Oryctolagus cuniculus: one gene and its partners. The protein of the gene in region 1 purifies or fractionates together with the protein of each later gene. This does not show direct contact. Links are inferred from orthologs where the notes say so. Each region holds a gene or a part of one and is shown in the gene's direction. Other genes may lie near its edges. The genes, in order: DHX9, HNRNPAB, HNRNPR, HNRNPA0, ELAVL1, ADAR and NXF1.

Region 1 (3,500 bases):
AGATGTTCCGTGCCTTAGAAATAGAGACAGTGGTCCAATTCTTCATCTCTTGATGGGAGCTGGAACCATATACTTTAATTGGCAAAATCTTTACAGTGGTCCTGGGTACAGATATTGTCCCAATTTAAAAGATCATAAAACCAACATAGAAGTTCACAGTTTTAAGCTTTATTCAGTGAGGACATTGTAAGATTTCGTCTCAGGCTGAGCTAGAGCAGAATCTGCGCAGGCCTTGGCGCTCGTGTTTCCAGATGCGGTGCTCATGAACTGTAGTTGGACTTGGACGCGCCTGCCTCCATTCCGGTGGGTGTCCTTTGCTGCGTCTCTCCATCTGCACACGCAGCAGTTTAAGAACAACAAATACATTGACCATTGACCTTGGTCCTGCTGGTCACTCAGAGTAGGTGGCTGGCGAGGGATTGTGTTACAAGTTACCACCCCAAGCCTAGGTTTATGGTTGAATCAGTAAGGGAATACAGACATTTAGTTTTCTGATTATGGAGACTCGGCAAAATTTCCTCTTGAGCTTAATCTGGGTACAAGGCTTCTGAGAAGAAAAAGGCTTCTAGACAGATCAGTTCTTTTATTCTTGTGTAGTTTGCCTGTGATGTGATGATTGGCCATTACCTGATTTTTTTTTTTTTTTAAACCTCATTCCTAACAGATTGTTTGTTGACACAAGTGTTTACTAACACTGGACCAGATAATAACTTGGATGTTGTTATCTCTCTCCTGGCCTTTGGTGTGTATCCCAATGTGTGCTATCACAAGGAAAAGAGAAAGATTCTTACCACCGAAGGGCGCAATGCACTTATCCACAAATCGTCTGTTAATTGTCCTTTTAGCAGCCAAGACATGAAATACCCTTCCCCCTTCTTTGTATTTGGTGAAAAGGTAAGAAAAGTTCACATCAGAACGTAAGTTTTGGGTTTCTTTAGGCCTAGTTTATATTATTAGACAGTTAATGTAACCTGTTTACTCTTGCCATTCTCTCCATCTGCAGATTCGAACCCGCGCCATCTCTGCTAAAGGCATGACTTTAGTCACTCCCCTGCAGTTGCTTCTTTTTGCCTCCAAGAAAGTCCAATCTGATGGTCAGATTGTGCTGGTAGATGACTGGTATGAACTTTTGCATGTGAACTCTTAGATTAGCATCTTTTTTTTTTTTTTTTTAAGATATATTTATTTAAAAGGCAGAGTTATGCAGAGGCAGAGAGAGAGGTCTTCCATCTGCTGGTTCACTCCCTAAATGCAAGAAACAACAGAGCTGGGCCAGTCTACAGCTAGGAGCCAGGAGCTTCTTCCAGGTCAGGATCCTACGTGGGTGCAGGGGACCAAGCACTTGGGCCATCTTATACTGCTTTCCCAGGCCGTAGCAGAGAACTGGATTGGAAATGGACCAACTGGGGCCCATATGGGATGCTGACACTGCAGGTGGTGGCTTTACCTGCTACACCACGGCACTGGCCCCCAGCCTCATTCTTAAAAACCTAAAAAGCTCCAGTGTGGAGTCTTTCATTCTTAGTGGAAACTGCGTGGTCTGCATTGCAGGCAGTTTTTGGCTTGATGGTTTTATGGTTTACAATTCCTGCAGATAGGTAGCAGTGAATTTTAAAAGGTTAGTGCGGGTAGTTGTTCTTTGTACCCCTGTCTGCCTGAGTCTGGGCTGCTGTAGTAGCTTAACAATATGGTGCTTGCCATATTGGCAGTTTTCTGTTACCTACTTCCTTTCTTATTTTGTATTGCTTTTCTCCATTTTAGGATCAGACTGCAAATAAGCCATGAAGCTGCTGCCTGCATCACTGCTCTGCGGGCTGCAGTGGAGGCTCTTGTTGTTGAAGTGACCAAGCAGCCCAGTATCATCAGCCAGCTGGACCCTGCCAATGAGCACATGCTGAACACCATCCGCCAGATCTCCAGGCCCTCAGCTGCTGGCATCAACCTGATGGTTGGCAGTACACGGTAAGTACCAGGGTCACAACTGGTGGTGCCGAGCCAGAGGCTTTGTCATCTCACAGAGGCCTAGAGTTAGTTGATAGTGGAGTTATTTAACTTGAATTTCTAGAGAAACACTAAATGTGGGATTTAATTCTGGGCAACACATTCAGAATGAAAGGTTGTTACTTTGCTTCTGTGTTGTAGTGCGTCCACTTTGTCGGTGTAGGTAGAGTCAGATGGGGCCCTTGAAAGTGCAGAGGCTATCCAGGGAGCCACATGATGGAATGTAACAACAGCCCGATGGTCCTTTCTTCCTCCTCACTGTTCTGACCTCCCTACAGAGGAACTTGGTGAACCCTTCAGTCTCCCACAGATGAGAAGTATCAGTGTTTACCTTAGGAAAATAGTATAGTATAGTCTTAAATGTGACGTTTCTCTTCAGTTTTAAAATGCTTTTTTCATTTTTCAATAGCTTTTTGTCTGGGATTATTTGATACCTACAAGAAAGGCAGAATAGTACAACATACACCCATACAGTCTTCATTTAAGTTCACTTACTTACCTTCAGTGTTTTGTGCCATTTGTATAATCATTTGTGATAAATTTGCAACTTCAGGAAATTTTGTGTCAGAATTTCTTTTGTCTAACAACATGGCCACAACATCATGGACCCATCTCAATTGAGAAGTATTATATTAATAATTTAAGTTACAAATGTTTGTTAAATACCATTATCCAAAACGTCTCTCTACTCTTCTTATCATAGATAACTTACTACATTTGGTTATAAATGCTTTTTTTTTTTTTTTTTTTTTTTTTTTAATTTATTTGACAGGGAGAGACAGAGATCTTCCATTTGCTAGTTCATTCCCCAAATGGCCACAACAGCTGGAGCTAGACCAATCTGAAGTCAGGAGCCAGGAGCTACTTTCAGGTCTCCCACATGGCCTCAGGTCCCAAGCACTTGGGCCATCTTCTACTGCTCTCCCAGGCCATAGCAGAGAGCTGGATCAAAAGTGGAGCGGCCAGGACTCAAATCAGTGCCCATATTGGATGGCAGTGCCACAGACAGAGACTTAACCTACTACGCCACAGTGCCAGCCCTGTAAATGCCTTTTTATTTTTTTTAGAAAGCTTTTGTTTAATAATTATAAATTTCATAGATAACAGCTTTTGGAATATAGCAGCTCCCCCCCCATACCCGCTCTCCCACCCCCACTCCCATCCCACCTCTTACTCCCGTTCCCATCCCATTCTTCATTAAGATTTTTAATTATCTTTATATACAGAAGATCAGCTCTATACTAAGATTTCAACACTTTGCACCCACAAAGTACTGTTTGAAGACAAGTTTTGCCATTAATTCTCATTGTACAATTCATCAAGGAGAGAGATCCTACATGGGGAGCAACTGCACAGTGATCCCTGTTGTTGATTTAACAGTTGACACTCTTATTTATGACGTCAGTGATCACCTGAGGCCCTGGTCGTGAGCTGCCAAAGGCTATGGAAGCCATTTGAGTCCACAAACTGTCATCATTTAGACGGCCATAATCAAAGTG
Region 2 (3,978 bases), on another chromosome or scaffold:
GCAGCGCTGCCTAAGTCTCTGTGGCGCTATGTGAATTCCAGTCGTGGAATCCAACCTCCGGAGTGAAGAGGCTAATCTGGGCCTTGGGGTGGAATACAGGGTGGGCTGTACAGTGTGGCTAACTCTGCAGATCTTTCCAGAAAAGCCTCAAGTCAATATTCATAGTCTTTTCAAAATGTGGAATTGTGACATGTTTTCATCCTCGGGACAACCCCATTGGCTGGAGGAGATTCGGGAGTCCACCCACTGCAATCTCAGGCCACTGGCCTAGGCCTCGTGCCGGTGACCCTACCACCCTCCCTAGGGTTGTTGGAGCCCAGGAGGGGACACGAGGCCCAGCCCCCGGGCCCGGCCCCGGAATCCGGCGGGAAATGCAGCCTCGGTCCGCGTTCCCAGAGGCCGGCTGGGGGCCACCCCTGGATTAAAAGGAACCCCGAGACTACTCCGGCCTTTCAAGCTCCGTGCTCAAGAAGCTGCAAACGCGATCACTTTGTGTATTACGAAGAGAACTAGCCCCCGCCCGATCTCATGGGAGTGATTATTTTTCGTCGAAACGAGTACCAGCGAAGAGAGTCTAAGGGGGTCTAAGGGGGCACTTTTTTTTTTTTTTTTAGTAAACAAAAGTGTAAACGCGGCGTTAACCAAGGCGGTGGCAGGTGACCGGGACCGAAGAAAGGCACGGCCCCTTCGTCCTCGCCCGGGGCACACAGGGCGGGAGCGCGGCGCTGAGGGCACCACGGTCGGGGCCGGCGGGCTCGGCCCAATCTCGCCAGAGCCGCGCTGAGGCGGCTTGGACGACTCGAGGCGCCCAATCGCGGAAGCCCGGATTCCGCAGCTTACACCCGAGCGACCTTGGGCTGCGAGACTTCCTCAGGCCCCATTTCCTCTTTTGGGAAACGGGGAGGCAAATGGCTGCCAGGGCTGGGGAGAGGGGCGCGAGGAAGAGGAATGCGGCCTCGCCGAGCTCAGGGTCTGGCTCGGGCCTGCCCGCCGCCCCGCTGCCGAGAACCCTCCGCAAGGCCCCGGCTCGCGCGGGTTCTAAAATGAGGACAAAGACCCGCCCGGATCTAGAGCGCGCGCGCGGCAGCGACCAATGAGCGAGCGCCGAGGGGCTGAGTGATGGGCGAGTGCACCCAATGAGCGTGCGCTTTGTTGCGAGGTGGCTCCGGCTCCGGCATTATAAAGAGCGCCACGAGTCGGCATTGTCAGGCGGCGGCACCTCGCGGGCCTGGTCCGTGGTGTGGGTCGGTGGGCTCTTTGCGGCGGCGTCCGAGGGTACGCGGTTCTTGCTGCTCCGTCGCGGACGGAGGGGAGGCCCCGGCAGCGCGAACTTGAGCGCGGCCGAGCCCGCGGCGCCTTTCCCGGCGGGTGGGGGACGAGTGGGCCTCGCGGCGTCATCGGCGGCGAGGTGAGCGGCTGGGCCGCGCGGGGCGGCGGGCGGGAGCGCGGGCAGGAGGCCGGCCGGCCTGACTCGCGGCCGCCGCCGCTCGTTGCAGGAGCCGCCGCGACCCGGTCTAACATGTCGGAAGCGGGTGAGGAGCAGCCCATGGAGACCACGGGCGCCACCGAGAACGGACACGAGGCCGCCCCCGAAGGCGAGTCGCCGGCCGGGACCGGGGCCGGCAGTGGCGGCGGCGGGGCCGCGGCGGGGGCCGGAGGCGGGACCGCGGCGCCCCCGAGTGGGAATCAGAACGGCGCGGAGGGGGACCAGATCAACGCCAGCAAGAATGAGGAGGACGCGGGGTAGGTGTGCGGGCCGCGGCGGCGGCGGCCGGGGGGCGCCGCCTTTGTTCCGGGGCCGCCTTTTGTTGGCGCCACGCGGCGGGGGGAGGGGCGGGCGGCCCCGCGGCCCGGCCCCGGCCCCACGGGCGCTCGCCCGCCGCCCCGGACTTGGCCGGAGTTTGTCCGGTCGGCTTTGGCGCCGCCCCTGGGCGGCTGGCGCGTGCGGCGCGGCCGGAAGCGGGGCGCTCGGACCCGGGCGACGCGGGGCGCAGGGCCGCGGCGCGGCTGCGTGGGCGGAGTTGGCGCGCGCCGGGCCTGCCTCCCTCCGCCTCCTGCCGGGGGCGGAGCCGCGGGCTGAACCCAGGAAGCCGCGAGTGGCGGGGCGGAGGCGGGGAGGGACGGGGGCCTTTGCTGTGCGCGCCTAGGACACCTTGGTGGCTCGTCCGGCGAGATCGAGGCCGCGTCCCGTTCGGCTTTGTGCGGGGCCGGGTTGGGTTGGGCTGGTCATGGAGCCTCGGCGCCCTTTAAAGGCGGGCAGACGCACTAGGGAGGCTCTGGTGTAGAGTGGGCACGAGCGATGGCTTTCTAAGTCCTGTGCATGAACGCTTAGCCAGGACCGGCCGTTCCTAAAATCACAGCTTTCTTATGAGATTTGCTGCTATGTGTCTCTACAATTTCAGGAAAATGTTCGTTGGTGGTCTGAGCTGGGATACCAGCAAAAAAGATTTAAAGGACTATTTTACTAAGTTTGGAGAGGTCGTTGACTGCACAATAAAAATGGATCCCAACACTGGACGGTCAAGAGGATTTGGGTTTATCCTCTTCAAAGACGCAACCAGTGTGGAGAAGGTAAGCTGAGTGCTGTGGTAGCAGTCTGTGATTTGAATTCTTAAGGGCACGTGGTCGGTGCTTTGTGTGAGTGCTGTGGAAAAATCAGAGGTGAGTTAGGAACTTGATGTTTTTGAAGGGACAGAAACAGAATAAGGGGGGCATAGTGGAGGGTGTGTGCTGGAGTGGCTTGGAAAAAAGATAATGCTAGCTATTTTTTGGGTACCTATACTCGCAGTAGTGAGGAATACAAAACAGCTGACAATAGCTGTGAGGTGGGCACTTAGCTCTGTTTTGCAAGGAAAAAACATAGGTCTTAAAAGTTTGAGCAGAAGAGATCACATAGCTAATAAGGGGTAGAGCTCTGGTTCTGATGCTAGCAACTCTTTCCGTTCCCTTAATGCTATTTTATTTCTGCAGAAGATGGGCTTTAAACTGGGACCCCAAAGGTGGGGGGCACACACAATATGGGCAGAGGTTCACAGGAGTCAGGACTGTTGAGGTCAACCAGATGCAATTGAGGCAAAAACAATGTTGGGCAATCAGCCTGGGGTCACTTTGTAGGCATGTGCTGGAGCCTTGGGGTTCAGAAAGGGCCCTGCCCAGGGTCATGCTGCTGAGTTAGAACCTGACCCTTTTCTGTTGGAACAGGTCCTAGATCAGAAGGAGCACAGGCTGGATGGCCGTGTCATTGACCCTAAAAAGGCCATGGCTATGAAGAAGGACCCAGTGAAGAAGATCTTTGTGGGGGGTCTGAATCCTGAAGCTACTGAGGAAAAGATCAGGGAGTACTTTGGCGAGTTTGGGGAGGTGAGTTGTAGACTTCAGAATGGCATTGTTTTGGAGTCCTCCACAGGGATTTCTTCACCTCTGGCAGTCACTGGGTCTTTTCTCCTAAGAATTCTCCACATGCCTTGGGGCATGGGAGGTGATGATGGTGGTCAGCCTTGCCTGTTTTCACAGATTGAGGCCATTGAGCTTCCAATGGATCCAAAGTCGAACAAAAGACGGGGTTTTGTTTTTATCACCTTTAAAGAAGAAGACCCCGTGAAGAAGGTTCTGGAGAAAAAGTTCCATACCATCAGTGGAAGCAAGGTAAATGCCCCCAGCTTGGTGAGCTGGCCTTTGCAGGTGTGAGTTAGGGGTTGGGCTTCTGCCAAGAGCTGCCAAGAGCTTAGTCAGGCCTTAACCACAGTGAACAGAGCTGTCCTGATTGGGGCAGGTAGTTGGGTCATTCAGAGTTGACAGCAGCAGGAGAGAAGGGGTGGCTCTACAGCACGCTGAGCAGCCTCTGGGTGTCTGGTTTAAAGCCGGAGGTGATAGTGTATGGTGTCTCTGCAGTTGAAATCTTCTGGGACTGACTGATTTTTCTCAAGTTTTTCCTGCTCCAGAGCTTTTCTTCCTCTTTGTGACCAAATCTTTGCTTGC
Region 3 (3,500 bases), on another chromosome or scaffold:
TCAGCTGCTTTCCCAGTCACATTAGCAAGGAGCTGGATTGGGAGTGGGATGTTGACACTGCAAGTGGTGGCTTAACCTACTGTGCCACGTGCCAGCCCATATTCACACATCTCTATTTGCTTTGTTATTCTGTTTCTCCGCCAAGTGGGAACCCTGTAGAAGCTCCTGCCTTCAGCCTGGTCCAGCTCCAGCCATTGTAGCCATCTGGGAAGTGAACCAGCAGAGGGAAGATTCATTCTGTCTCTCTTTCTCTTTTTCTCTGTGTGTATGTGTCTTCCTCTCTCTGTAACTCTTTCAAATAAATGCATAAATAAATAAATATTTTTAAAAAGTATAAAGTGTTGCCAATAGTGTGGCACAAAGCTTGCTTACCATATTGACTGTAAATTTTTACTCCCATTTCAGAGATACAAAAATGGGGGGAAATGTGTCTTACCGATAGTGTATCCTAGCAATCTCTATATCAGCCCATAGAGCTCATCCTAGTTACTGTGGCTGCATAATATTCCATTCTGTGGGTGTGCCGTAGCACATGCATACTTGCTGGATGTTTCTGTCCCCCCATTTTTTTTTGTTAACAATACTGTAATGAATGAACTTGTACCACATCAGATGATAGAAGTACAAATGTATCTGTAAGATGGATTGTAGGCTGAAGCTAAATGGATCTGTAATTATTAAGATATTACCATATTCTTCTCTGTAGGGGATGTACTGGTATATTCTATCACCAGCACAATATAAGAGGACTGTTTTCCTCATCCTTGACAAAATAGTGTGAGATCACACTTCTGGATTTTGCTGGTCTGATAATATGGTATCTCAATGCTGTTACGACTTGTATTTCTTACTATGTATGAGCTTGAGCTTTTAATGTATTTGGAGGACCATGTGTTTCTTTGTATTAAACCATGGATTCATGAATTTGCTTATTTTTCATTTGTTGGGATTTTTCTTATTTTCTGATGCTTTAATAGAAAAGATTATCTCTGTGATATGTCATTTTCCTTTTGACATTACTTATGGTATTTTTTGCCATATAGAAGGCATTTACTTTTAGTAGTATTACTCTTTTAGATTTACTCTTGTTTTCTGCCAGTATTTTCATAGTCCCCACCTTCCCTTACCATTTACATTTTTAGTCTATTTGGAGCTTATCTTGGTATATAGTGAGGTATGGACCAACTTTTAACTTTTTTCCAGATAAGCACAGTACTAATTCAATTATGTAAATATATAGTTTGTATTTCATAGGGCTAGGCTCTAGATTTCTCATGTGTTGTTCTATTGTTTATTTCATAAGAATTTTAAAGAGTTATCTGGTTCTAGGGAGAGAAAATAGGAAAACTCATTGAAGAGGGAACTTAGATATCCTGTTAAATTTGCGAATTAACTTAGCAATAATCAGTGTTGGTTTCTTGAAGGATCTGTTCCTAGTGTTAAATGCTTTAATGGTAGGGTAGAAGACAGGAACCAACAATTTATGTAAATTGGTGACTAATGTCAGTGTTTTCTTGACAGTTTCTTATACTTCCTGTAATGTTACTTTTAATGCTAATGTTTTGGAGAAGAAAAGCCTGTGCCTGAAGACAGGAAGAAATACTTGAACACTAGCTAAAATTCAGTATCCAGTGCCAATCTTGTATATTTGTTGCTATTAGGTGAAAGTTTTGTTTGTGAGAAATTTGGCTACTACGGTGACAGAAGAAATCTTGGAAAAGTCATTTTCTGAATTTGGAAAACTTGAAAGAGTAAAGAAGTTGAAAGATTATGCATTTGTTCATTTTGAAGACAGAGGAGCAGCTGTTAAGGTAGAAATTTAGAAATTTTACTTCTTGGTACCTGAATTCTGTTGTTGAAATGTGTAAACACATAAAGTAACTTTAAAAACAAATAAAATTGGTTTTTGGCTTTTGCTGAACTTTGGAACTTTCTTTTTAATAATCTCTATAAAGTAGTATAACAAGACTGTATTTCAATGCCAGATTATTACTGTGACTGTGATCTCAGGTAAGTTATTTTTAATCTCTGTTATTGTAAGCCTAACATTTGATAGCATGATGCCATAGAAGTATTATGAGATACAATCATTAGCTGCTGTAAATACTAAACAGGCAGTAACTATATTATAGCTTCTTTCTGAACCTCAGCTCTGTAGACATGTGAAAGAAACCCAGTAGTATAATGACTTTACCATGATATAGTATCTTTTAATTTTGTAGATGTATTTTGAGGGTGTGGCTGGTTCTTTATGTTTTTGCCTTCAGTCTTTTTCTTTCTTCTCTCTCTCTTAATACTTATTCATCTACTTAAAAGGCAGGTCTTTGATCCACTGGTTGACTTCCAAATGCCTGCAACAGAAAAGGCTAGGCCAGGCTGAAGCCAAGAGCCTAGAACTCCATCTCGGTCTCCATGTGTATCAGCAGGAAGCTGGATCAGAAGAGAGCATCCAGGCCTGGAAATATGAGATGAGGGTTTCCTAAGCAGCAGCTTAACCCCCTTTGCTATAGTGCCTGCCCTGCCTTTAAACATTTTAGAGTGAGACTAGTATTAGCTATGTTTCACTGATGTCAGTAATTGTTAAGGGATACTTGTATATAGTAGTTGATTTATTCGTTGATGATAGTAATGAAAGTGTGGGAAAAATGTTTTTGTATGGTTTCTAGCACATAAAACCTGAAGTTTTTTGCTGCTTTTCATTGATGGTGAGTCAGTACCATGCTTAGCAGGTAGAATTTTGATTCTTCTTCCTCCTGTTCATGCCTTCCTTGGGAAGAGAAAGAAGACAAAACACTAATAATCTTTTTTAGGTAATTAGGAAGATGGGTCCAAATTGCTCAGTGATTCAGGCTTGATTGTGGGTTTTTTTTTTTTTTTTTAAATATTATTTATTTGAGAGGTAGAGTTACAGACAGTAAAGGTCTTCCTTCCATTGCTTCATTCCCCAAATGGCCGCAATGGCCGGAGCTGCGCCAGTCCAAAGCCAGGAGCTTCTTCCTGGTCTCCCATGTGGTTGCAGGGGCCCAAGGACTTGGGTCATCTACTACTACTATCCCAGGCCATAGCAGAGAGCTGGATTGGAAGAGGAGCAGCCAGGACTAGAACCGGTGCCCATATGGGATGCGGGCGTCGCAGGCAGAGGATTAACCTACTGCGCCATGGCACCGGCCCCATGCTTGATTGTTTTTCTACAGTTTCTGTCAGTGGGATCCTGCCACTTCTAATATGAGCATTTTGTTTGTTTCTTGCCCAGAAAATAAAACAGACCTTATAGAAGCCTTGACTAGGGTAGAATTAATTTGTTTAATTATTGATGGGAATGAATTAGATAATATTGCTAATAAAATTCATAGTTTAGTACAGAATTGTTTGGCTTCTGAGATGTCTAGTAGTATAGAACTAATAAGCTTGTATAGTACTTTATTATTTATTTTTTTTAAAAAGATGTATTTATTTATTTGAGAGGCAGAGTTACAAACAGAGAGAGGGGGAGAGAGAGA
Region 4 (3,503 bases), on another chromosome or scaffold:
GCAAGTTTCCTGCAGAAATCTTATCTAGTCTTCGTCTCCCAGATCCAGTACAACTTTAACCTCTTTCCCAAATCCTTCCCCAATACTCGAGGAAACAGCGAGGAATCACTCTGAGCTTCTTCAGTAATAACCACCTGGTTTGGGAGGCTCTTGGTGTCCTAGTGCCACGTCCCAGTCTAGGCATCTTGTTTGGCCACAAAGGTTCAAACAGTTCAAAGTTTTGGCCTGCGGAGGGCACTTAAAGGCAGGCATCAGGTGTGCAGACGGGCTCTTTGCGAATACAATGCTCAGCTATTCTTGGTTTGATATAAAACGTCTGGAAAAAGCCAAAACGTGAGTTGGAAGGGGGCAGCGCACAGATGACTTAAGTTATGAGTGTATCCTGAGGTAAGTGAAAATGTCTGCAGGAGTGTGCGGAGCGGGTGGGACGTTAGATGTGGCGGAGCCCCGCCTCGGCGTGAGGTTTTCGCACCCTGTTATCTTTCACACCGCCTCGGACTCGCTTTTGCGCATTACTACGCCACGTGTTCAAGTTTTGGTTCAGCCACGCGCCCGGCCCACTGGTAACCGTTACCAACCGCCTCCCTGGACCGGTCCTCCGCCCTCCATCTTTACGGGGGCGAGAGGAGGGGCGTGGCCGCCAGGTGTAGCCGCCCGGCCGAGACGCGGCGGGTAAACCCCGGCCCCGAACCCCAGCAGTTAAGTTTTCAAAGCGCCCGCGCGTGGCGCCCCAGGCAGTAGCCGTTGGGAACGGCCCCCAGCGAGGCCCCCAGCCCATGCCCCGCCCAGCCCGGAGCGGGAGGAGGCGTGCAGGTGGCGGCCGCCCCGCACTCCGGGGGCGCCCGGGCAAGCGCGCACTGGGGGCGCGCCCGTCCAGCAGCTGCCGAGAACGGAAGTGGGTGCGTGGGGTTGCGGCGATTGGCTGCACTCACACGCCTCTCAAGGGGCTGGCGCGAACGCCACTGCGGAGCGGGGCGAGGGGATAGGGGAAGGGGAGGGGGAGAGTCACTGGGAACAGCCGGGGGCTGCTCGGAAATGAACTGCGGAGGGTCGCGGAGGGCAGGGCAGGTCCGTTGCCAGGGCGCGCCGAGGCGCCCGGCAGTGACAGATGGACAGCAGCAGGCGTGGGCGCGCCCGCCGGGGCCGAGGGCTTGAATAGACCGCGGCGGGCGCGGAGTCTGTGGTTGAGCCCGGCGCTGCGGCGCGGTAGGCGGGACCAAGAGGAGCGAGGCGGGGATTGGCGGGCGGCCCTAGGCTACCGTGCGTCGGTGGTGACGCACGCCGCGGGGAGGGTACGCGCGCGTTCAGCGGCCTCTTTGTGTGGTGCCCAGATAGGGGAGCGGAGGTGGCGGCGGTGGCGGCAGGGGCGGCCTTGGGTGCTCGCCCGTCTCCCCGGCGCGCCCTCCTCGCCCGCACCGCTCCCCTCCCTCCCCCTCCTCTTCTCCTTCCCTCCCCTCCCCTCCCCTTCCCCGCCGGTGTCCGGCGGGGGCGGCTCCAGCGACGGCTGGGCCCCAGTTGTGAAGAAGCCTCGGCGACAGATAACGGCGACGGCGAAACCTCGGGGCTCGCGGGGCGGGGGCAAGGCCCGGGCCGTGGAGATGGAGAATTCCCAGCTGTGTAAGCTCTTCATCGGTGGCCTCAACGTGCAGACGAGTGAGTCGGGCCTGCGCGGCCACTTCGAGGCCTTTGGGACCTTGACGGACTGCGTGGTGGTGGTGAACCCCCAGACGAAGCGCTCCCGGTGCTTTGGCTTCGTGACCTACTCGAATGTGGAGGAGGCGGATGCCGCCATGGCCGCGTCGCCGCATGCCGTGGACGGCAACACGGTGGAGCTGAAGCGGGCCGTGTCCCGCGAGGATTCGGCGCGGCCCGGTGCCCACGCCAAGGTGAAGAAGCTCTTTGTCGGGGGCCTGAAGGGAGACGTGGCCGAGGGCGACCTGATCGAGCACTTCTCGCAGTTCGGCGCCGTGGAAAAGGCCGAGATCATCGCCGACAAGCAGTCGGGCAAGAAGCGCGGCTTCGGCTTCGTGTATTTTCAGAACCACGACGCGGCGGATAAGGCCGCGGTGGTCAAGTTCCATCCCATCCAGGGCCATCGCGTGGAGGTGAAGAAGGCCGTCCCCAAGGAGGACATCCACTCCGGCGGGGGCGGCGGCGGCTCCCGGTCGTCCCGGGGCGGCCGGGGCGGCCGGGGGCGCGGCGGGGGGCGAGACCAGAACGGCCTGGCCAAGGGCGGCGGCGGCGGCTACAACAGCTACGGGGGCTACGGCGGGGGCGGCTACGGGGGCTACGGCGGCGGCGGGGGCGGCTCGTCGTACGGGGGCAGCGACTACGGTAACGGCTTCGGCGGCTTCGGCAGCTACAGCCAGCACCAGTCTTCGTACGGGCCCATGAAGAGCGGCGGCGGCGGCTGGGGCGGTCGCAGTAACAGCGGACCTTACAGAGGCGGCTACGGCGGTGGGGGCGGCTACGGAGGCGGCTCCTTCTGAGAAGCTGGAAATGCCTGGGAGCGGCTGCAGGGGCGGCCCTGAAACATGCCGAGTGGGGTCCACTCCTGAGGCCCGTACTCCTCCACCGCCTTCCCCATTTTGCCCTTGGGGGAGCCGCTGAGGCTGCTTACCCTTGGGAGTGTCCCCCTGTTTACCTGGCACCTCTCGACCCTCCCTCTGAAGATGGACTAGACCCCCCCCCCTACATTTTTGTGTTACAGTCATTGATGGACTCTATTTTTTTATTATTACTTGGAACTTGGTCGTTTTTATACTAGCAAGATGTCTTGTTTTAATTTGTGTTTTTTGGGGGGGAGGGAGTGAATTTGCTCATTCTGTAGCAAAACCCGGGCGGGTGTTTGGGAGGGGGAGTAGTTTACTTTGTTGTAAGGACTTGATACCTGGCTACAGCGTTTTCTATGATCTACTTGGATCCCATGCCTGAAATTTGGAAGCATATGTACAAAAATCATTTTTACGTTTTATTTTTAATAAATCATTGTGTTTGACCGTACATGTCTAACATTTTTTTTTCTAGGATCCATTCCGTACCTATTTAAGGGATATTGGTTTTAAGATTTTGTGTGTGTGTAATTCTGGATGTGTACTTAGAAAAGCTTTTCAGAGGTTCTGTGTTTTTATCCTCCCCCGTTGCTCTGCTAGTGACATGTTGAAGTTTATCCCTTTCAGGCAAAACTTGAAGTGGTGGATGTGACTCTTTAAAATCTTAATTTATGTGCATCCATCGCTTGTACTGAGTGATTTACTTAGCATCTTGACATAGTTGGTCACTTCTTTCTATGAGACTTTACTTCAAAGTATGTACTGTGTAGTTCTAAAGAAGTAGTTTGTGTTACGCATGTGTTCTCATTCATACAAACTGTTTAAAATTTTTCAGATGGCTGAGTTTCATCCCTCTTACTGATTTGTGTTTAATGAATGGTTACAAATAAGGGTTATGTTTTACCCTCACACTAAATGCGTTTTTGTATTTTCTGAGCAGGTTTAATCCTT
Region 5 (3,388 bases), on another chromosome or scaffold:
TCTGCAGTCTGCTCGCCTTATCCCCTTGCTGGGACTTAGCCTTCTGTGCCTCTGCAAGGGTGGTGTCTCCCTAGGTCCTGGGATGCTTCGCTGTTGCCCCCCAGGGTCAGCCTCAACCCTCCAAGGGGTGCATGGCACCTGTGTTCTCTCCACCCACACCTCTGCCCAGCAAGAAGATATCCCTGAGACTCCCTCTGCAAAGCCCAGCTTCCCCACCCTAGGGTGCAGAATTGTAGACTAGGAAGGTGCACCCCAGGGTTATGGACCTCCCAGGAGGCCCTATGCTGGAAATGGGCTGCCACTTATTGGGACCTGCAAAGGCCCAAAGTGGGGCAGGATGTGGCCATGGGTTTATGTTGAGTTTGCCTCCAGGGGACATGCATTTTAGTGGTCAGGAGACCACGGACATTATCTTCAGAAGTCTTCACGTCTTGGACCAACAAAACTTAACTTTGTTTTTAATTTCTTTGCTTCTTTATTCATCATCATTGTGCACTTTATTGCTCATTCATCTGGAAATTGTGCCTTTTTTATCTTAATTGTGAAAAGCACTGGACAACATCAAAAGCACGGAGCTGTCTCTACAAGTGTACGTGGCACAGGGACACTGCTCTGCAGCTGCCATCCCGCCCAGCAGCTGCAGCTTCCTGTTATAATTGCCTCATGTTAGGGTTCGTTGAGGTTTCTGAGGCTAAGCTCCCGCTCGGCACGGGCACTGTGAAGTCACCGCTTCAACTCAGGAGAAAGTCTGAAACTTTAATTAGTTTATTTAGTTTTGTTTGTTTTAATTTAACCCGTTCATTTGCTTTCATGTTTAGGTTTGTTTTTGTTTGTTTGTTTAACCAGGCATCCAGTTCGTACCATAATAGACTGACTTGACTTTTGCTTTTCAGTTTTAAAGTTCCTTGCCTTTTTTCCCCTAACTCCATTTTTGTTGGTTTGTTAAAAAGGTTTGTCCAGAGGGGTTGCGTTTATCCGGTTTGACAAACGGTCGGAAGCAGAAGAGGCAATTACCAGTTTCAATGGTCATAAACCCCCAGGTTCCTCCGAGCCCATCACAGTGAAGTTTGCAGCCAACCCCAACCAGAACAAAAACGTGGCGCTGCTCTCACAGCTGTACCACTCACCTGCCAGACGGTTTGGAGGCCCCGTACACCACCAGGCACAGCGATTCAGGTGGGTCCCTAGGGCAGTGCGCTGGTGGCCTCGCAATGCGATGTGGGAAGCGTTGAGGGCGCCAGGCCCCTGCTGTTAGAAAGGTCTCCACGCTCCAGGACTTCCCGTGGAAGCCAGAGTCTGCAGATGCACAGTGCCTTCCATAAAGCAGTGTGATGTTTGCACAGAACCCTCATGCAGCCAGACCCTCTCCAGATAACTTAGAGACCGAATTCAACACAGAGCTGTGGAAACAGTGGTTGTATCGTTTGGGGAGTTAGAACAAGAGAGGTGTCTGTGTGTTTAGCACAGATGCAGGTTTTTCTCTGAATATTATCCACCCGCAGTTGGCTGAGTCTGCAGATGCAGAACCCCTGGAAGTAGGTGGCCAGCTGTACTTCTCCTGGGTTGTTCTCTTTCCTTGGATTTAAAAAGATAACACTGGCTCCTGGCAGAGAGCATACGGGGCTAACATGGCTTTCTCAGTAACATCAAAGTGGAGCTGTGAGTTTGAAAGATCACTCCAGGGGCAGGCTTGCCACACTGGGTGAAGCCACTGCTTTTATCTCCGCTTGCCCATAGCTCATAGCTGGGATTGAGTCTGGCCTCTGCTTCCCATCCAGCTTCCTGCTAATGCCCAGATGCCTGCAACAGCCACAGTTGCACCAGGCACTCCCATATGGGATGTGGTACTTGGGTCCTGGCACCTATGTAAGAGACCTGAATGGAGCCCCTGGCTTTGCCTGGCCCAGGAACCAAGTACCACATCCCATTAGTAAGAAGCTGGAGCTGGGTAATGAACTCAGCCGATGTGGGATGCAGGCCAGACGCTGGAGCCGCAGTGTGAGCCGGTGGCCTTCTCCATACCCCGCCTGCCTTGTGGGGTCGTTTTGGGTCTGAGTAGTAAATGTGCGGTGCAGGGGCCCAGCCCAGAGGAAGCACTGAGTTGGGCCTGCCTCCCGGGTCAGGTAGAATAGATCCGAGTCAGTAACTTGGACTTGACACTAGGACTGTCACTGCTGCAGGAACAAGGAAGACCTGGTTGAGGGGCCTTTGTGTCTGCTTTTGACTTTGTCAGCACCTGAAGAAGCGGTGTGAGGGCTTTTCTCGGGTGTGATTGGGGTTTTCTCCATGACTTTGTAGGTTTCCCATCTCTTGTGTGCAGTGAGGCTGGGTGGAGCCTGCTCGCCTCCACAGATGCTGTCTGGAGAGGCGTGTTCCCGGGGTGGGGGGGGGCATTACTCTGCAGCCCACCTGCCCTGGCTTTCTAGTGGAGACAAAGGCTGGGGCTGCTGCTGGCTGCTTTACACAGAATTGAGATGGTCAGCAGTGCTGCTCCTGATGGGATGGGTTGTGGGCAGCAGCAGGTGGTGAGTTACTCAGTAACCAGGAAAGCAGGAGGAGCAGAGGGACTTTGACCGCGGTCAGGGGCCCGGAGAAGCCAGCTGGTGGCGTAGCAGAGTGATAGAGGTGTGGCAGGGGATCCCTGGACAAGATGAGGGAAGGAAGAAAGGCCCAGAGGAGTGGAATGGGCCATCAGGTCCCGTCCTCCTAGAAAAGCTCCCAAAGCAGGGAGGGATCCTATCTCCTTATGTACTGTCAGAGAAGGGGTCATTGCTGCTGTCAGCTCTGAACCAGCTCTTGGGAGCAGCAGGAAGAGCCACTGGCCAGAATGAGAGGAGGGCTGATTGCGATAGCTGTGTAATAAAATAGGTGATGCTCAAAACTTGGGTCCATGAGTTCGGCACCTTTTCTAGGTGTCGTTAAAAACTGGCTGGGCTTAGTGTCCCGAGGATGCCGGGGTGTCCTCTGCGGCCCCGTGTGAACAGGCACTGGGGTCTCACCGTCATCCCAGGTGGCCATCTGAGTCGTCGTTCAACTCGGATGTCCTGTTGGAGCCCTTAACCTCATCCTTGTGATTTTGAAATCACTGCAGAACTGTGTTGTGACTCTTCACCTCCATACCTGCATCAGAAATCACCCTTGGACTCTGAGCTGCAGTCTGGGTGTCTTTAAGATTTATTTATTTGGGGAGCCAGCACTGTGGCACAGCAGGTTAAAGCCCTGGCCTGAAGCGCCAGCATCCCTTATGGGCGCTGGTTCTAGTCCCAGCTGCTCCTCTTCCGACCCAGCTCTCTGCTGTGGCCTGGGAAAGCAGTAGAAGATGTCCCAAGTCCTTGGGCCCCTGCACCCATGTGGGAGACCCAAAAGAAGCTCCTGGCTCCTGGTTTCA
Region 6 (3,500 bases), on another chromosome or scaffold:
CTGCCTGAGTCCTTGGGCCCCTGCCACCCACGTGGGAGACCTGAAAGAAGCTTCTGGCTCCTATATTTGGCCCAGCCCTGGACATTGTGACCATTAGGGGAGTGAGCCAGCGGATGGAAGCTGTCTCTGTCTGTTTCTCCCTCTCTCTCCTTCTCTCTAACTATGCCTTTCAAATAAATAAAAATAGATCTTTAAAATGAAGGAGACAGTGGGCCGGCGCCGTGGCTCAATAGGCTAATCCTCCACCTTGCGGCGCCGGCACACCGGGTTCTAGTCCCGGTTGGGGCGCCGGATTCTGTCCCGGTTGCCCCTCTTCCAGGCCAGCTCTCTGCTATGGCCAGGGAGTGCAGTGGAGGATGGCCCAGGTGCTTGGGCCCTGCACCCCATGGGAGACCAGGAAAAGCACCTGGCTCCTGGCTCCTGCCAGGATCAGCGCGGTGCGCCGGCTGCAGCGGCGGCCATTGGAGGGTGAACCAACGGCAAAGGAAGACCTTTCTCTCTCTGTCTCTCTCTCTCACTGTCCACTCTGCCTGTCAAAAAAAAAAAAAAAAAAAAAAAAAAATGAAGGAGACAGGCCCAGGCCTTTGTAGGTGATAGCACAGTGCCTGCTCAGAAGTTAGTGAGTTGAGTTTATCACATGCAGTTGTGTAACCACCTTCAACTTAGGGCAAGTAACACTGCTTTTTTCATTTACAGTGATGATGAAGTACGTTTGCATTTTTAGAAAGTCAGTTTGGGGAACGACCTGGATCTAACAACAATCATGTCATGATCCATGAATGACCATAATCTGGGAAATTCTGCCTTAGAAACCGCTGTTAAGGGGCCCTTGTGTCTGCAGGTCTGGCCACATCGTAAGCAGAATGAAACCTCCCTGGAAGAGCTGTCAATATCTAATGTTTGTCTTTATCCCCACTTCTCATGCAAAGGTTTGTTTACCAAGCAAAAGTTGGAGGTCGCTGGTTCCCAGCCGTCTGCGCACACAGCAAGAAGCAAGGCAAACAGGAAGCAGCAGATGCGGCTCTCCGTGTCTTGATTGGGGAGAACGAGAAGGCAGAACGCATGGGTTTCACAGAGGTAACCCCAGTGACAGGGGCCAGTCTCAGAAGAACTATGCTCCTCCTCTCCAGGTCCCCAGAGGCACAGCCAAAGACAGTTAAGACGTCTACTTTTGGTGCTCTCTTTCTTGTGGGGGGAGGGGGTTCTGCTGACTCCTCCCTGGGTGGAGCTGGCACTTAACTTGCTGCATCGTGTGAGTTATTCCTAGGCTTTAATGTGAGCCCTAATTGAACATATAAGTGGGACTCTTGGTGTGAGGGGAAAGGTGACTCCCGAGGCGAGCAGAACACGATCGATGTCCCTGGCCGCCATGAAGCATGGTGGACGCAGACATGGCTGCCAGGTCCTGACACAGCCTCCTGTCCCCACAGCTTCCTCTCACCGGCAGCACGTTCCACGACCAGATCGCCATGCTGAGTCACCGGTGCTTCAACGCTCTCACCAACAGTTTCCAGCCCTCCCTGCTGGGCCGCAAGATCCTGGCTGCCATCATTATGAAGAAGGACTCCGATGACATGGGCGTCGTCGTCAGCTTGGGGACTGGTAAGTGAGGGCTTCCCTGAGTGCCCGGAAGTGGGTCCTCCTGGTCTCCTGCAGTCCACATGGGTGTGTCCAAGGCAGGGAGAAAAGACTGCTAACGGAGGTCAGGCATCTCCAGTCTAGAAGCCCCAAATCCAGAGTGCTCAACTCTGAACCTCTGAGCACCAACCTAATGTGTACTGGAGTTCAGATTTTCAGGTTAGGGATTCTACTGCAAAAATCAAAACTATCCAACCTCTGGGATCTGACACCTCCGGGCCCAAGCATTTCCAATTAGAGGTGCTCAACTCGCATTCATTCTCACCACAGCCAGCGCAGAGTGGGTGCTGAGTTCCTAGGGGGCACCAGGTGGGCGGCAAGGGTCTGGTGGCCCGAGGCTGCTTCTGCTTTCAGCTGTGAGGACACATCCCTGTCCCCCGTGGTTTTTGCCTTTGATGATTCCATTGCTGGTTCCAACATGCCCCCAGGGAATCGCTGTGTGAAAGGAGACTCTCTCAGCCTGAAGGGAGAGACGGTCAATGACTGCCACGCCGAAATCATCTCCCGGAGAGGCTTCATCAGGTGAGCGGGCGCCCGTGCTGACAGGTGGCTGGGGCGGGCCTGCCGCCCAGCTGTCCCAGGGCTCACGGCACCCGTCGCCTGCGTCCTGCTGCCCAGCCTGTTGTCAGGGCTCTCCTTGCTGCTGCTGCTGCTTCGTGCCTGTTGTGAAAAACGCAAAGTGACTCTCAGTCCTCCGGGCCTTGAGGCTGCGGCCGCCTTCCTTCTGCGTTTGAAGACCTGCGTGCCCCGGCAGCCTTCTCCGCTTCACCTGCTCTTTCATTCACGAAGGGACAGGCTCGGGGGGAAGCAGCAGCCTCCTGTTCCCCTGGAGTCCATTTGTCCCGCCCCAGAATCCCTGTGGCCACCATAGAGAGGAGCCCTCAGCAGAACTGAGACTGAGCCAGAAGGCTGGCTCTGCCGTAGGCGCACTGGGGCCTCGCAGGCAGGGTTCCCAGCGCCTCTTGCCACCGGAAGCTGGTGCCGGGCTGTGTTCTTAGGGTTTCTGCTTACCTGGGGGTCATGTAGGGCCAGCTCTTAGAAGCAACTGCTCTTGCCAGAATCAAACCTATCTTTCTAACCAGGCTTTGTTTCCGTAGGTTTCTCTACAGCGAGTTAATGAAGTACAACCCCCAGACTGCGAAGGAAAGTATATTTGAGCCTGCTAGGGGAGGAGAAAAGCTCCAGATAAAAAAGACTGTTTCATTTCATCTCTATATCAGGTCTGTATGGTCTCTGTTGCTGTCAGAGCGCGCCCTGCCAAGCTCCCAGGACTGAGTATCCTAACACGTCCCTGGCTCCCCGGTCAGGCCTCACACGATAGAGCACCCCGCATGGCGTGTGCACTGTGTGCCCTGGGTGCAGCCATTCTCACAGACGCCGCTGCCACCTCCAGGCTCACGGGGTGGGCTTCAGGAAATGTCCCTTGTTTCTGCCAGCTGGTCTGGGAGCCCCCGGAAATGGAGGGCGGTTGTTTCCGGGTGAGCTGTAACAGAGGCCCCGCTTCTCCTGCAGCACTGCTCCCTGTGGAGATGGCGCGCTCTTTGACAAGTCCTGCAGTGACCGTAATGTGGAGAGTACAGATTCTCGCCACTACCCGGTCTTCGAGAATCCCAAGCAAGGCAAGCTACGCACCAAGGTAGAGAATGGTGAGTGCCACGTGACCCTCACGCGTCCCACGGGAGGCTCTGTGAGACTGCCAGGTCTTCGCTGTTCGTCACTGGGCCCCAAGGCGGGGTGGACGGGGAAGGGAAGATCAAGGCTCCACTCTGAATTTGTTCTTTCAGAGGATCTCCCAAGCATACAGGAGGTGGAGGTACCAACCTGGAGCTCAGCCTGGCAATAAACTCACGGGAGTGCTCCTC
Region 7 (3,952 bases), on another chromosome or scaffold:
ACTGCCACATGGGTGGCAGGGTCCAGGTTCCTGGGCCATCTTCCACTGTTTCCCAGGCATGTTAGTAGGGAACTGGATTGTAAGTAGAGCAACCCGCACACAAACCAGTGCCCATATGGGATGTTGGTGTCACAGGGGGCAGCTTAAGCCACTTTGCCACAGCGCTTGTCCTGGCCCTGGCATTTTGAAGTTCCCTCTCCTTGGCATCCCTCAGCCAGTGGCCTACCACAGCTGGTCACGCTGGCTGCTCAGCTGACACGGGATGGGCTCTAGCTCCACGTCTGGGTGGGGAGGTCTTTGATGATGAATGCTCGCTCAAAGCTTTACACACGCGGCCTCACTTGACTCCTCGTCGTTCTTCGAAAGAGAAAGGACACAGAACAGAACGCATTTGTTTGATGTTCCAGTCATGATACTGAGCCAGGAGCTGGAAGAAAGCCATGGATTGGGGTTTCTGCTCCCACGGAGTTTACACTGTGGTTTTCCATTTCGTCTTTCCTTTTTTTTTTTTTTTTTTTTTTTTTTTGAGAGGCGGAGTAAGAGGTCTTCTGTCTGTTGGTTCACTCCCCAAATGGCCCCAAAGTCCAGAGCAGGGCCGATCAGAAGCCAGGAGCTTCTTCCTGGTCTCCCACGTAGTTGTAGGGGCCCAAGCACTGGGGCCATCCTCTGCTTTCCCAGGCCATCAGCAGGGAGCTGGATTGTAAGTGGAATAGCCAGGACTCCAACCGTTGCCCATATGGGAATGCCGGCGCCGCGGGCGCTTAACCTACAACGCCACAGCGCCGGCCCTTATTTCGTTATTATTAATCCATGTAATAGACGAGGAAAGCGAGGCATTGACCTGAAGCCGGCAAAGAGGAAAACAAATACTACCAGCATCCTGCTGAGGGGAGCGCCGAAGCGGGGTTCCATTTCTCGAAGGCTCTCCGTGCGGCCCCTTTCCCTAAGTTCTGAGCTCCAGCAGCCCGCTCGCTGTTGCAAAGCTAAAGAACTGCCACAGCTGCCTGGGAGAGCTGATGAAAAGGTGGCGGGTGACGGACGGACTAGCCGGCAGCGAGCCGGGCACCCGCGGGCTCAGCTCCGAGGCGGGGCCTGGAGGGGGCGGGGCCCGCCCCGCGCGGCAGCCTTGCGTGTGCGCACGCGCAGGGGGGCGCGCCCTCCCTGAGGCACCGCCCACAGCCTGCGGACGTCGCTGGCGCGCGACGTGCTTCGCCGGATAAATGCGGTGGCGCCCCGCGTAAGAGCGCTTGGGTCTTGAGCGCTTGGGCGTTTGGACGTTTGGTGGCGTCGTGGCCGGCGCCTAAGCCAGCCTCTGTTCTTTGCTGTGCGATGGCGGATGAGGGGAAGTCGTACAACGGTCAGTGCTGGATCTCGTGTGTGGAGCGGACGATCTGGGGCCCGGGTGGGCGGCGCCGGCCTAGGCCGCAGCTCGGGGCGAGAGGCCGCGAGGGGTCCGGCGTCCGAGGGGAGCGGCGGCAGCGCGGGGCGGGTGGGGGCAAGGCGGTCCCCGGGGGGCCGGCCGGACTCGAGGTGGGCGCGCGAGTTGACAGGACTCCGGGGCACTGGCGTTGGGAGGACCTGCGGCTCGGAGCGGGCGGCTCGGGTGGGTTGACGGGATTTCCTTTGAACTTTGAGAGTGGCTGGTGCCTGTCAGTTCAGTTTGGCGGCCCGACTCTTCCTTTAATGTGACTCAGTGGGCTGCCCTGGTGCCCTGGTTTTGTTGTTGTTGTTTTTTTTTTTCTTACCGCGTCCAGTCGGCCTTGCCTTCTGGCCTGTGGCTTTGGCTTAATAGTTGAGACCGACACACCAACTGGATGTTTTGGTCCCGACACCCTACCGGCTGTGAGTCCATTATAGTGGTTTGGAGGGCCCGGCAGCCGAGTTTTGAAACCTGGGTTGTCTACAGCAAGCTGGAGGGAGTTAAACTCTCAGGCCTCTTTCCCAAACCCCTTAGTGTGGAAAGTAACTACCTGTTTCCTCTGTGTGTGTGTAAGAGAGAAGAGAGACTGTGTGTGTATGAGACAGACAGACCGTGAGATCATTACATACCAGGTGCTGGTAGCACAGTGCCCGGCACAGGAGAGTGCCTTCAGTGAGTGTTCACCGTACCCTCTGTTCATGTATTCTGCTTGGCCGGGGTTATCTGTTGGGGCTCATTATTTACAGAGTACCGGGCACTAGGTAGATGCGTTTTTCTTTGGAAGTCATGGACCATTTTTAAAGGAGCCGTTCCTACGGAGTTAGTAGGTTATGTTTATCTAGAGAGCATCTGGGGACCTTTCATTGAGCAGCCTAGGGTGGGGCTGCTTCTCTGGTGCCTGAGTCCAGGCCCGGTCTCCTGAGCTTTTAAAGGGCTTTTCTGGCCAAGGAAACGGAGCATCTCAGAACTTTCAGAGTGGCAGTTTAAGAACGTGGAGTTATTTTAGAGAGCCCTTTCAGTTGATCCTGTTGTAACTTTCATTCAAGCGGTATAGGTACATAACTGAGTGGCAGAATTCAGGTGGTTTTCAGGAGTCTGACTTGTGGGCAGTTACACTTTTGGGTTGGCCACACTTCTCCATTCTGGTTCTCTTCTCTGTAGTTCTGGTTTCTGCTTCGTTTTTCAAAAGCCCTGCACAGTCTCCCAATAACTTTTCCCTGATGATGTCATCCACGGTTTTCTGGAGGTGGCCCCTGTGGTTCTTATGTTCTCTCCCAACAGTGAGGCACTGTGATTGCCATATGGAGGTGCTGGGAGCAGTGGTGTTAATAATTCGTGTGCCTGTTTCTAACCGTAGAGTACGATGACCGTGTTAGTTTCCCTCAAAGAAGAAAGAAAGGCCGGGGTCCTTTCCGGTGGAAGTATGGTGAGAGTAACCGTCGCTCTGGAAGAGGTGGTTCTGGTATCCGGTCTTCCCGGCTTGAGGAGGATGATGGAGATGTAGCAATGAGTGACGCCCAGGATGGTCCCCGAGTACGATAGTAAGTGACCAGTTCGTCTGGGTTATATTAGTGACCCCCTAGATTATATAGCCCTCTTAGTGGCCATGTCATTTCTCTTCCCACCTGGAAGAATAAGAAATGCCAGGACCAGTTTAAATGGTCCTGTACAGTGCGGGGACAGTCTTTGAGAAAACTTTGGTAGCACATATGGACATTTTGCTCTGCCTCCTCACAGCACCCCCTATGCTGCCCGACCCAACCGCCGGGGCGACACTTGGCATGGTCGAGAGCGTATTCATGTTACTGTGCGGAGAGACAGAGCTCCTTTAGAGCGAGGAGGGGCCGGCACCAGCCAGGATGGGACCTCCAAAAACTGGTTCAAGATTACGGTGAGTACTGTGGGAAACAAAGCGGTACAGGGACAGGGGGACCTTGCTCAGAGTACAGGTGTTTGTTATTCCACAAAAATCTGTTTTCTTGGCCCTTTACTGCACAATCAGGTGTCCTTCCTTTCTCTCTCTCTCTTTTTAAATATTTTATTTTATTTATTTGAAAGAGTTACAGAGAGAGGTAGAGACAGAGAGAGAGGTCTTCCATCCGTTGGTTCACTCTCCAGATGGCCACAACGGCCGGAGCTGCGCCGATCGGAAGCCAGGAACTTCCTCCAGGTCTCCCACTCGGCTACAGTGGCCCAAGGACTTGGACCATCTTCTGCTTCCCCAGGCCATATCAGAGAGCTGGATCAGAAGAGGAGCAGCAGGGACTAGGACTGGTACCCATATGGGATGCCAGCGCTTCAGGCCAGGGCTTTAACCTGCTGCGCCATAGCGCCAGCCCCCATCCTTTCTCTTAAGGGTCAGTATCTTAGAACACTTTAGAACAGGTTCAGAGAAGGCAAGGCAGGGAGTAGGTAGAATGGGACAGAAGGGAGATGTAACTGTAGTCAGAAGGCAGAGGAGCTCCTCTGGATGTCTCCAATTGGCTGAGGCTGAATATGGGGTTTGGACTCCCTGAAGTTCTGAGGGTACAG

The links.
Region 2: the proteins of DHX9 (region 1) and HNRNPAB purify together in Homo sapiens (affinity purification with mass spectrometry; 3 studies listed by BioGRID and IntAct, with this or other methods). This does not show direct contact. The link is inferred for Oryctolagus cuniculus from reciprocal best matches to the Homo sapiens genes DHX9 and HNRNPAB.
Region 3: the proteins of DHX9 (region 1) and HNRNPR fractionate together in Homo sapiens (co-fractionation; 3 studies listed by BioGRID and IntAct, with this or other methods). This does not show direct contact. The link is inferred for Oryctolagus cuniculus from reciprocal best matches to the Homo sapiens genes DHX9 and HNRNPR.
Region 4: the proteins of DHX9 (region 1) and HNRNPA0 purify together in Homo sapiens (affinity purification with mass spectrometry; 3 studies listed by BioGRID and IntAct, with this or other methods). This does not show direct contact. The link is inferred for Oryctolagus cuniculus from reciprocal best matches to the Homo sapiens genes DHX9 and HNRNPA0.
Region 5: the proteins of DHX9 (region 1) and ELAVL1 purify together in Homo sapiens (affinity purification with mass spectrometry; 3 studies listed by BioGRID and IntAct, with this or other methods). This does not show direct contact. The link is inferred for Oryctolagus cuniculus from reciprocal best matches to the Homo sapiens genes DHX9 and ELAVL1.
Region 6: the proteins of DHX9 (region 1) and ADAR purify together in Homo sapiens (affinity purification with western blotting; 3 studies listed by BioGRID and IntAct, with this or other methods). This does not show direct contact. The link is inferred for Oryctolagus cuniculus from reciprocal best matches to the Homo sapiens genes DHX9 and ADAR.
Region 7: the proteins of DHX9 (region 1) and NXF1 purify together in Homo sapiens (co-immunoprecipitation; 4 studies listed by BioGRID and IntAct, with this or other methods). This does not show direct contact. The link is inferred for Oryctolagus cuniculus from reciprocal best matches to the Homo sapiens genes DHX9 and NXF1.

What each region holds. Positions count from the first base shown.
Region 1 is NC_091444.1:1,076,311-1,079,810, forward strand, and holds part of DHX9 (ATP-dependent RNA helicase A), read left to right. Parts: intron 1-664; coding exon 665-894; intron 895-1,003; coding exon 1,004-1,119; intron 1,120-1,761; coding exon 1,762-1,962; intron 1,963-3,500. UniProt on the Homo sapiens protein: Multifunctional ATP-dependent nucleic acid helicase that unwinds DNA and RNA in a 3' to 5' direction and that plays important roles in many processes, such as DNA replication, transcriptional activation, post-transcriptional RNA regulation, mRNA translation and RNA-mediated gene silencing.
Region 2 is NC_091437.1:63,781,176-63,785,153, forward strand, and holds the start of HNRNPAB (heterogeneous nuclear ribonucleoprotein A/B), read left to right. Parts: upstream 1-1,178; 5' UTR 1,179-1,408; intron 1,409-1,496; 5' UTR 1,497-1,519; coding exon 1,520-1,743; intron 1,744-2,402; coding exon 2,403-2,571; intron 2,572-3,201; coding exon 3,202-3,360; intron 3,361-3,513; coding exon 3,514-3,645; intron 3,646-3,978. UniProt on the Homo sapiens protein: Binds single-stranded RNA. Has a high affinity for G-rich and U-rich regions of hnRNA. Also binds to APOB mRNA transcripts around the RNA editing site.
Region 3 is NC_091438.1:147,606,395-147,609,894, forward strand, and holds part of HNRNPR (heterogeneous nuclear ribonucleoprotein R), read left to right. Parts: intron 1-1,661; coding exon 1,662-1,811; intron 1,812-3,500. UniProt on the Homo sapiens protein: Component of ribonucleosomes, which are complexes of at least 20 other different heterogeneous nuclear ribonucleoproteins (hnRNP). hnRNP play an important role in processing of precursor mRNA in the nucleus.
Region 4 is NC_091437.1:25,591,714-25,595,216, reverse strand, and holds HNRNPA0 (heterogeneous nuclear ribonucleoprotein A0), read left to right. Parts: upstream 1-1,293; 5' UTR 1,294-1,598; coding exon 1,599-2,489; 3' UTR 2,490-3,003; downstream 3,004-3,503. UniProt on the Homo sapiens protein: mRNA-binding component of ribonucleosomes. Specifically binds AU-rich element (ARE)-containing mRNAs. Involved in post-transcriptional regulation of cytokines mRNAs.
Region 5 is NW_027208201.1:4,154,569-4,157,956, reverse strand, and holds part of ELAVL1 (ELAV-like protein 1), read left to right. Parts: intron 1-950; coding exon 951-1,176; intron 1,177-3,388. UniProt on the Homo sapiens protein: RNA-binding protein that binds to the 3'-UTR region of mRNAs and increases their stability.
Region 6 is NC_091438.1:43,899,367-43,902,866, forward strand, and holds part of ADAR (double-stranded RNA-specific adenosine deaminase), read left to right. Parts: intron 1-929; coding exon 930-1,155; intron 1,156-1,430; coding exon 1,431-1,602; intron 1,603-2,066; coding exon 2,067-2,160; intron 2,161-2,735; coding exon 2,736-2,858; intron 2,859-3,150; coding exon 3,151-3,284; intron 3,285-3,500. UniProt on the Homo sapiens protein: Catalyzes the hydrolytic deamination of adenosine to inosine in double-stranded RNA (dsRNA) referred to as A-to-I RNA editing.
Region 7 is NC_091432.1:8,788,272-8,792,223, forward strand, and holds the start of NXF1 (nuclear RNA export factor 1), read left to right. Parts: upstream 1-1,152; 5' UTR 1,153-1,329; coding exon 1,330-1,357; intron 1,358-2,777; coding exon 2,778-2,961; intron 2,962-3,157; coding exon 3,158-3,311; intron 3,312-3,952.